2 linked regions of the Coturnix japonica genome follow. The protein of the gene in region 2 purifies or fractionates together with the protein of the main gene of each other region. This does not show direct contact. Links are inferred from orthologs where the notes say so. Each region holds a gene or a part of one and is shown on either strand. Other genes may lie near its edges.

Evidence for each region. The genes of interacting proteins can lie anywhere in the genome.
Region 1: the proteins of STK35 (region 2) and C21H1orf174 purify together in Homo sapiens (affinity purification with mass spectrometry; 3 studies listed by BioGRID and IntAct, counting the BioPlex papers as one, with this or other methods). This does not show direct contact. The link is inferred for Coturnix japonica from reciprocal best matches to the Homo sapiens genes STK35 and C1orf174.

Annotation. Positions count from the first base shown.
Region 1 is NC_029536.1:765,430-769,691, reverse strand, and holds C21H1orf174 (UPF0688 protein C1orf174 homolog), read right to left. Parts: upstream 2,806-4,262; 5' UTR 2,738-2,805; coding exon 2,672-2,737; intron 2,293-2,671; coding exon 1,810-2,292; intron 1,468-1,809; coding exon 1,357-1,467; 3' UTR 367-1,356; downstream 1-366.
Region 2 is NC_029535.1:9,253,754-9,257,265, reverse strand, and holds part of STK35 (serine/threonine-protein kinase 35), read right to left. Parts: intron 1,882-3,512; coding exon 1,169-1,881; 3' UTR 1,134-1,168; intron 1-1,133.

The DNA of each region.
Region 1 (4,262 bases), on a different chromosome or scaffold from region 2:
TTAGCAGACATCATCATCATTTACCTCTAGGAAAGTTCTGGGTGTTTACTTTGGTTGCTGGTTTTGGTTTTGTTTTGCATTTTTCTCCCCAGTTTCTTCCTATCACTGGTTCTCTTTCTTATCAGATCAATTCATCTAGTTCAGACAAGATTATTATTAAGACAGTATTGCTGTGTGAGTCCTGACTTGCTAGGGCTTGGAAATGCAGGAGCTTTGCTACAGACAGTGCTAATTAAAGCAGTAAATTCAATTCCTTTCCCAAACATTTCAACGTGAAAATAAGCAAATGCATTTTTAGTATGGAGTTTCAGCACCATTGGATTGATCCTGATCATCTCACTGAATATACATCAACAGTAAGAGAAGTGAAAATGCACATTCTGGTGTTTTGGTATTGGGGAAGGGACTGCAATAAAGATGTGACAACAAGCATTGTGCTGTCAGCATGGCACATTTCCTACTAACACCATTTTACACTGAGTGTGTGTAAAGAGACTGCCTAGGAAAAAAAAAAGTCAGCTAATAAGGAATTAAGGGAGAGCTGGGAGAACTGCTTTTAGATGGAGTTGTGATGAAAACCACGTATACACCAAAATAGGAAGGTTTTTTTTTGCAGTGTTACAAACTTAAGAGTAAAAAGGAGCCAAGAACTGGCACTGACAGAAACAATACATCAACTGGAGTGGGAATTTGAATAAATTAACATGTCATGCATATACAATTTGTTTGGCTTCAGATTTTTGAATGTTCAACATACTGTAGCTGTAGAAATTAATATTGATTTAAACCATCTGCTGATTATATTTTCTCTGTATTTTTAGAAATACTTTCTTCTGTGTTTATAATAATAAATATCTGGGAGCTTCTTGCAGAATCACACTTTCAAAGTACTATCACCAACACTGCATGAGTTAGCAGTTCGTGAGGTTGCTCATGTAAAAATGCAGGCCAGAAGGAACAGATTTGAAGGACTGACCCATATCTACTTGGCCACCACTACTTGTTTGTCTACCAGTTAAAGTCCTACTGAGAGATTCTGTTCTGCCTTTTTCACTGCCAATGTATTTGTGAAACTTCTATTCACAACCTTTGGAAGTCAGTTGAAAACACTGAACAATCTGCATTATAGAGCTATTAAAAGGGCAATGCTTACAGCTGACGTGGTGGAAGATGGAATTCAGTCAAACTCTGCCCCAGAAAACTGAGGGGGAATACTGTATCTGCCAACTCTAGAAACAGACTCTAGCCATTCTCTAAGAAAATGCAAATACTGACACGTCATGCCAGTGATACAGCCTACCACCATCGCTCTGGTAGGAAGACAAGGAAAAGTTTCCTGTGTTTTACAGTTTGCTGCTAGAGAACATCCTCGTCGTCCTCCTCCTCATCTTCCTTGGCGATGAAATGCAGCCTTCTGTATTCCCGCCTGCTCATTGTTGTGCTCGGGAGAACAGCTGCTAGCTCATCCTTGAAGAAAAAGATGAAATGATGAAGTGAAGTTGCTGCAGATGGCAAACCTCCCCCATCTCCAGCAGTTCCCATTCTTCCCCAGTCTCATACATGAGGCATTAACACACACACATCTGAATAAACCTTTACAGAGTGCAGAGGGGAGCCTGTCTGAACCAGCTCATGGTCCAAGTGAGGGCTGTTGTTCTCTCTGCAGTCAAAAAGGATGCAGAGGAGATAAAGTCCTCCACAAGTGAATCCTCACTGCTCCCACTAAACACAACATTCATTAAATGGATAAAAGATGAAGGCATCAGGTGTCCAAATGTATATAATATTAAAGGCAGACTCAACCTTTACCTGCATAAAGTCAATGTTTCCAAAGAACCGATCCAGTGGCATCGGCTGGTTACTGTCTTCATCCAAGAAAGCACTGTTATCTAGTTCTGTTAGTTTCTTAGGGACGTCTCCATCCTTCAAGCAGTTCCCTTCCAAAATCAAGCTCTCACAGCTGTTCTCCTCCCTGCAGGCACGATCTTGCAGATCCTCATTGCTTTCTGTTTTTGAAGGTGCACTACTTGCTTTTGCCGCATGTGGCTTTGAAGAAACATCACCTTCCTTCTCCTGTTTTTCTCCACCGGTCTCTGGAATTCTTTCACTTTTTTCCAGCTGAATTTCGTGGTGATCTGTACCTTTTGATGGTGAGCCCTCAGCAGGTGTTTTAGATGCAGGAGGGTTCTCACTCTCACACATACAGCCTTCCAGTCCTGACTTCACCCGACTGTTTCTTTCACATTTTAGCCTCTTGGAGGGCCGTCTGCCAACTGCTTTGTGTGAAGAAGCCTGTTAGAAAAACAAAGAGAAGCACATGAAGTTCAAAAGCACCCGAACACAGCAGCAACCAGCTCGTGTGGCATGAAACTCCATGCGAGAAACCTCCTGAGCTGTAGCACCAAGCACAGCCACTATGGGAAAAGATTATTTCCCCATAAATAATAAAAGATAAAATAAATAAAAGAGCATTTAGGAGGAAAAGAAAGGCCCAAATAGAGCACCCCCACGATGGGTGCCAGGCGGAGGACATCACCGCTGGCCGCTTCCCCATCGCTCCAGGCCTGCCCCCTGCCACCACAACGGCACAGCACAGCCTCCACAGCCCGTTCCCTCCCCAGTCACCCCATGTTCCCTCCGGTCCATGGTATCAGCCCGGCTCGGCCCTCACCTGCCGGCTCCCCCCGTCTCCTTTTCCGCTACCCGCCCCGGCTCGGCCCTTCCCGCCCGCCGCCATCTTGGGGAGGAGCAGCGTCCCGGCCAGGTCCGAGCCCGGCGCTGCGGGCCGCCCTTCACCACAGGAGGGGCGGAGAGATGCCTTGGGGTGCTAGGCCCATCGCGGTGTTAAACCGCCTTCAGTGGAAATAAAATAAAATAAATGTGTATGTAGGCTGTGTATGTGATAAACACTTCGGGTCTTTTGCTTCCCAGCGCCTTCTTTTTGAAAGCTTTGCTTCTAAGATGTGCATTGGGAAGTCGTTATCCCTTCCCCACAGCCCTCAGGGAAGGAATGGTGCAGATAGCCAGCAGATAACATTGCCATTGCACATCCTGGCCTGGAAAAAGCAACAATTTGAGCCTCAGAGATTCAGCAGCAATATTCCTCTGAGGATATCCAGCTCAGATGTTTTCTTTCTCAGCTCCAGGTTGGAAAACAGGCCTGCTCAGCGCTCAGGGGTCTTCTGTGCTTTGTTCTATGGCTGAGATGATTCATATTCTCCTCCAAAGCACCGAAACTTGCTCCGCTCTCAGTGTTGTTGCTCGCAGCCAAGGAATACAGATGATTGTTTTTATTATACAGTGAGAACTTATACTGCCTCGTAAACAGGAGAGACTGGAGCTGGCTGCAGAGAGGCATTTTTGCTGCTGGAAAGCTTGGATGCCGTCTCGATTTCCTCTGTGAACTGAAAATAGCAAGAAAATAAAAAGCCGTTTGGAGATGTTAATGGATGGTTTCTATAACACCGAGGTGGCAGACTCAGCAAGGTGGCCTCGGACACATCCAGGGGATGCACACCTTGCACAGACAAAGCCAGAACAGCAGGGCTTAGAACCAGCATCATAAGGGTTGGAAAGACTTCTGAGGTTGTCAAGCCCAACCATCAACCTGTCGAGCTTCTTTGCGAGGCTCCTAGATTCTTCTCACTGCAGGAAAGGCAGCAAGAGCCCCCTAAGAGACCTGCCCATGTTTCAGCAGCTCAGTGACTCCTGAGTGCCTTGAAAGTCTGCACAGAGACCACCGGCAGCCAACAAGCCCTGAAAGCCAAGCAGAGCGGCTCAAACTATTTACATTAAACTCACATTTCCACATAAAAGAGGGCTTGGTCTCAACCGTATTAAAAAGTGGGTTTTGTTAGAATCTGTTGTCTAAGCAGGCAGGAGAAAGAGGGAAAAAAAACCAACAAGGCGATTTTCTGAGCTCCCTCGTTTTTATGAGAGCTGGCTGGCGGGTATGAAGCAGCAGCTGATGAGCTTATTGAGCAGGATGGGAGGCTCGGGCTGTGAAATTCGATGTGTAAATTAGCTTCTTGCAGCACTTGTCTCTGTGCCTGTCACTTCCACCAGTGTCTCTGTCTGTTATAATCCTCCGAGTTCATTTGGTTAAACATTAGTGACATGCAAGGGACAGCAGCCAAAAATAATGTTGCCTGTAAACGTTAACGGCTGCGAACTGTTGAATGAGAGATCTATCAAACACACCAAGCATCCAGCAAGAGCACGGACTGGTCTTTTCCTGCCATGGAAAGGATATTTTTAGCTCA
Region 2 (3,512 bases):
AAGGCTGACAGCTGGGTGTTTGCCAGTAAAAGCAGCAGTTCTGGCTTTCATTGCCCTCTTGTATCTGCGGTTCACTTTGATCCAGAAGGATCTGTTGGGTTTCTGGTGAGTAAGGACCAGGAAGCAGCACTGTCCAGCTCTGAAGCAGCCTGTGAAATACCAGGACTGGAAAGATATCTGCCTCACCCTGTAATCTGTCATTTTTCAGTTTCATTGAAGTGTTTGGCCAGGAGAGCCCCATAGTAACAGCTCTTGTTTACAGACAGCTTTACCAATGATCACTACTGCTCATTCCCTTGATGTCACTGCTGAGTGACACAGCCAGCTCTATCCCACTTCTGTGGGTGTCCTTCCCGACCTCCACTAAGGACCAGGATGCAGCAGAAGCCAAGTTCAGGACTATTTAGGCCCTGAGCCTGGGGAAGAAGGGAGGGACTCTGCACGAACCGAGCTCCATCTGAGCACAGATGTTCTGTAAGCTTCCTTCCTGAGCAGACTCAGGTCTCAGCTCAGATGTTAAACACCAAAGCACCCCACTGGTTTATGCAACTGTGCTTGGCACTGAAGTCCTGCCTTCAGCAAGGAAATGAAACGAGATGGATGCACATGCTTTGCAAGTGAAAGCAAGGAAAACAGCCTTGTCTGTGCCAGAACCCACCTGCCGCTCAGCTCAGTGCCTTCCCAGCAGGCCAGCCATGACCCAAGCTGCCCTTCCCTAATACCAGTGGGGAAGGAGCACCATGTTTGAGAGATAGGAACTCTCATAGCTTTGCTGAAATCACAGCACGTGGAGGAGACAGAAGAAAAGGCAGCTCCTTCCCTGCCTCTGGAAGGGACCAACACACCCAAAGCTGATGTCAGGATGTTCAATGTGCCTCCCCAGCCCAGGTCCACAGAGCAGAGCCGTGTCTGGGCTTTGGGCAGCACCAGGACATGCGGCTGCTCATCTGCTCTTCACCTCTACTGTATTGCTGCAATAGAATAGGTGGGGAAAAAAACACCACTCAAACAGAGTTCTGATGAGTCACTATAGAAATAGCTCTGGGAACATAAAGGACTCCATTGTGTCACTACAAAGTGCATTAACAGGCTGGACAGCAGACAGAATAATATAAAAACCACCGATCACTTACCCAGCTGCAAAGCACAGCAGTGCCCTGCCCTGAATTTAAGCAGCACATGTAACCTGGTCCATTCTGGTTTCGAGCTCAAAGGCATCAGGTCGATCCTGCGGGTTAGCAGCCAACATGTCTTTCAGGAGCTGCTTGATCCCCTCAGACATGGAAGTCCTGCGCCTCTGAGGGATGTGCAGCTCCATCTTTGGGTTTTCTAGCAGCGCTTCCCCAACAGGCACAATCTCAGACCCTTGCTTGATGTAGGTCCCCAGCAGCTCCCTCTTGGTCTCAGCATCAATGAAGGTGAGCCTCTCAATCATGGCCCAGATGATGATACCGAGGGCGAAGATGTCAGCCTTGGCAGTGTAGTGCCCCTCCCAGACCTCGGGGGCCATATAGAAGTCAGAGCCACAAGCCGAAGACAGCCAGTACTTGTTCACATTCACATTTCTGTTCTCATGGCCACCCTTTTTTCCTCGAGCCGTCAGACCAGCACAGACTTTGCTGAGCCCAAAGTCAGCCACCTTGAGAACTGGGGTGCCCGACTTCTCGGTGATCAAGATGTTGTCTGGCTTCAGGTCCCGATGGACGATGTGGTTCTTGTGCAGGAAGGCGATGGCGCTGGTGAGCTGCAGCATGAAGCTTCTGTTGGTCGCAGGGTCAGGTCGTCGTGACAGCACGTACTGGTTGAGGTCCCCCCCTTCACAGAACTCCATGACGAACCAGAGGTAGCAAGGCTCCTCCGCGTAGCCCAGGATCCTCTCACCTTACCAAAATGGAGCAAAAAAAAAACAAAGAGTGAGTTCTGACAGGCACATTGGAAGGTGTCCACACTAACTCAGAACAAGGGAAAGACACGAGGCTGATTTACACAGACAGTAAAAGTTTGAGGAACTGGCTGCACTGGGACAGGCTGCCCAGGGAAGCACTGGAGTCACCCACACACCCAACACTGCCAGGACCAGAGTCTTGCAGCACACCAGCTGCTCTCAGGCCAGATGTGAGCTGTTTAAGCACTGTGTTTGTGCTCTGCCACTTCCCTACAGCTCTAGTGAAGCACCAACAGGTCTTCAGAGAGACCAAACTGGAAGCTCAAGCAGTCAACATAGTGAGGTAGCACTATGTTTAAGTGCAACCTCAGCCATGCTGATGGATCCAGCTGCCTCTACCACAGTCAGAAAAGCACAGGCAAGTCCGAGTGTTTGGACACTACTTAAAGAACTCCACCTACTTTACCAAGGTTGTTTTGTTTTCATTTAGCAAAGGCCTGCAGACCATCTGGGAAAGCAAACTCCCAGCAGCAGGTAGAGCCAAGCACTACCAGCACCACCGAGGCCCAGGCTCTCTGGCATCCACAGTGGTCAGCGATTGGTGTGGGTGGGAATACTGGTTATTTGCACAAACAGTCTGTATCCATGGCTACTGCTATGGAAATGAAATCCTGCACAACACAAGGGTTTGGCTGCACCTCCCTGCCCTCAGCAGAGCATGAGAAGTAGGGCTGGGGTGTGTGGGGGGGGGTTCAACATCTCCCACCCGGGGTCTGCAAAGTGCTGAGCCCAGCACAAGGGGTCAGGGAGCTCCTGTCAGCCAGCAGCATGAGGAACCACAGCAGTGCCATGTGCACAGAGCTGGGAGCATCACACCATAGCATGCAGGTGGGACGAGACAGCATTTCCCAGCAGTCCCATCCCAGGGGGAAGCAGCAAAGACCCGCTGGCTCTGTCACACTGAGGTTTGGGCTCAGCATAACAAAGGCTCAGATTCAAAACGAAGCCCCACACGTGTCTGCAGGAACAGGGAGGACACAGCTGACCCAGCAGTAGCCGTGAGCACCGTGCACTTCACTTTGGGTGGGGTTCTGCTGGGAGATGTCGAAGCCAAGAGTAATATTTCCTCATTTTCTTTCTATAATGTGAAAGCGTTTGAGTTGTTAAATCACCTTCCTGCCTTCAAAACAAACAGCTCCAAACATAACAAGCCGGCAAGCCACTTAAAGATGAACTTAGCAAGACAAGCTGCAAAGAGATGAAGGGACACAAACAAGAGCCCAGAGCTCCAACACCAAGCGGGCGACCCTCCATCCCCACAGGCACCCCCCTGCAGCCTGTCCTGGGAGCTCATTAACAGCTTGCTAATTTGCTTTGCATCAGTGGGAACAACCTAATGCCAGAAGAACCAGCCTCCCACTCCTCAGCGCTGCATGGAACCTCAACTCCCTCTGTGCAAAGATGCTGTGCTGGAGAGAAGGGAGCCAGGCAGTACAAAGCCAGGGACCTGGACCCATGGGCAATGTGCCATGGAGCACAGCCCCAGCTCTGCTCACTGAACAAAGCAGCTCTGCCCAGCACTGCTGTGGGTTGGGTGCAGCTAACAGTGCACACAGTCACACACAAG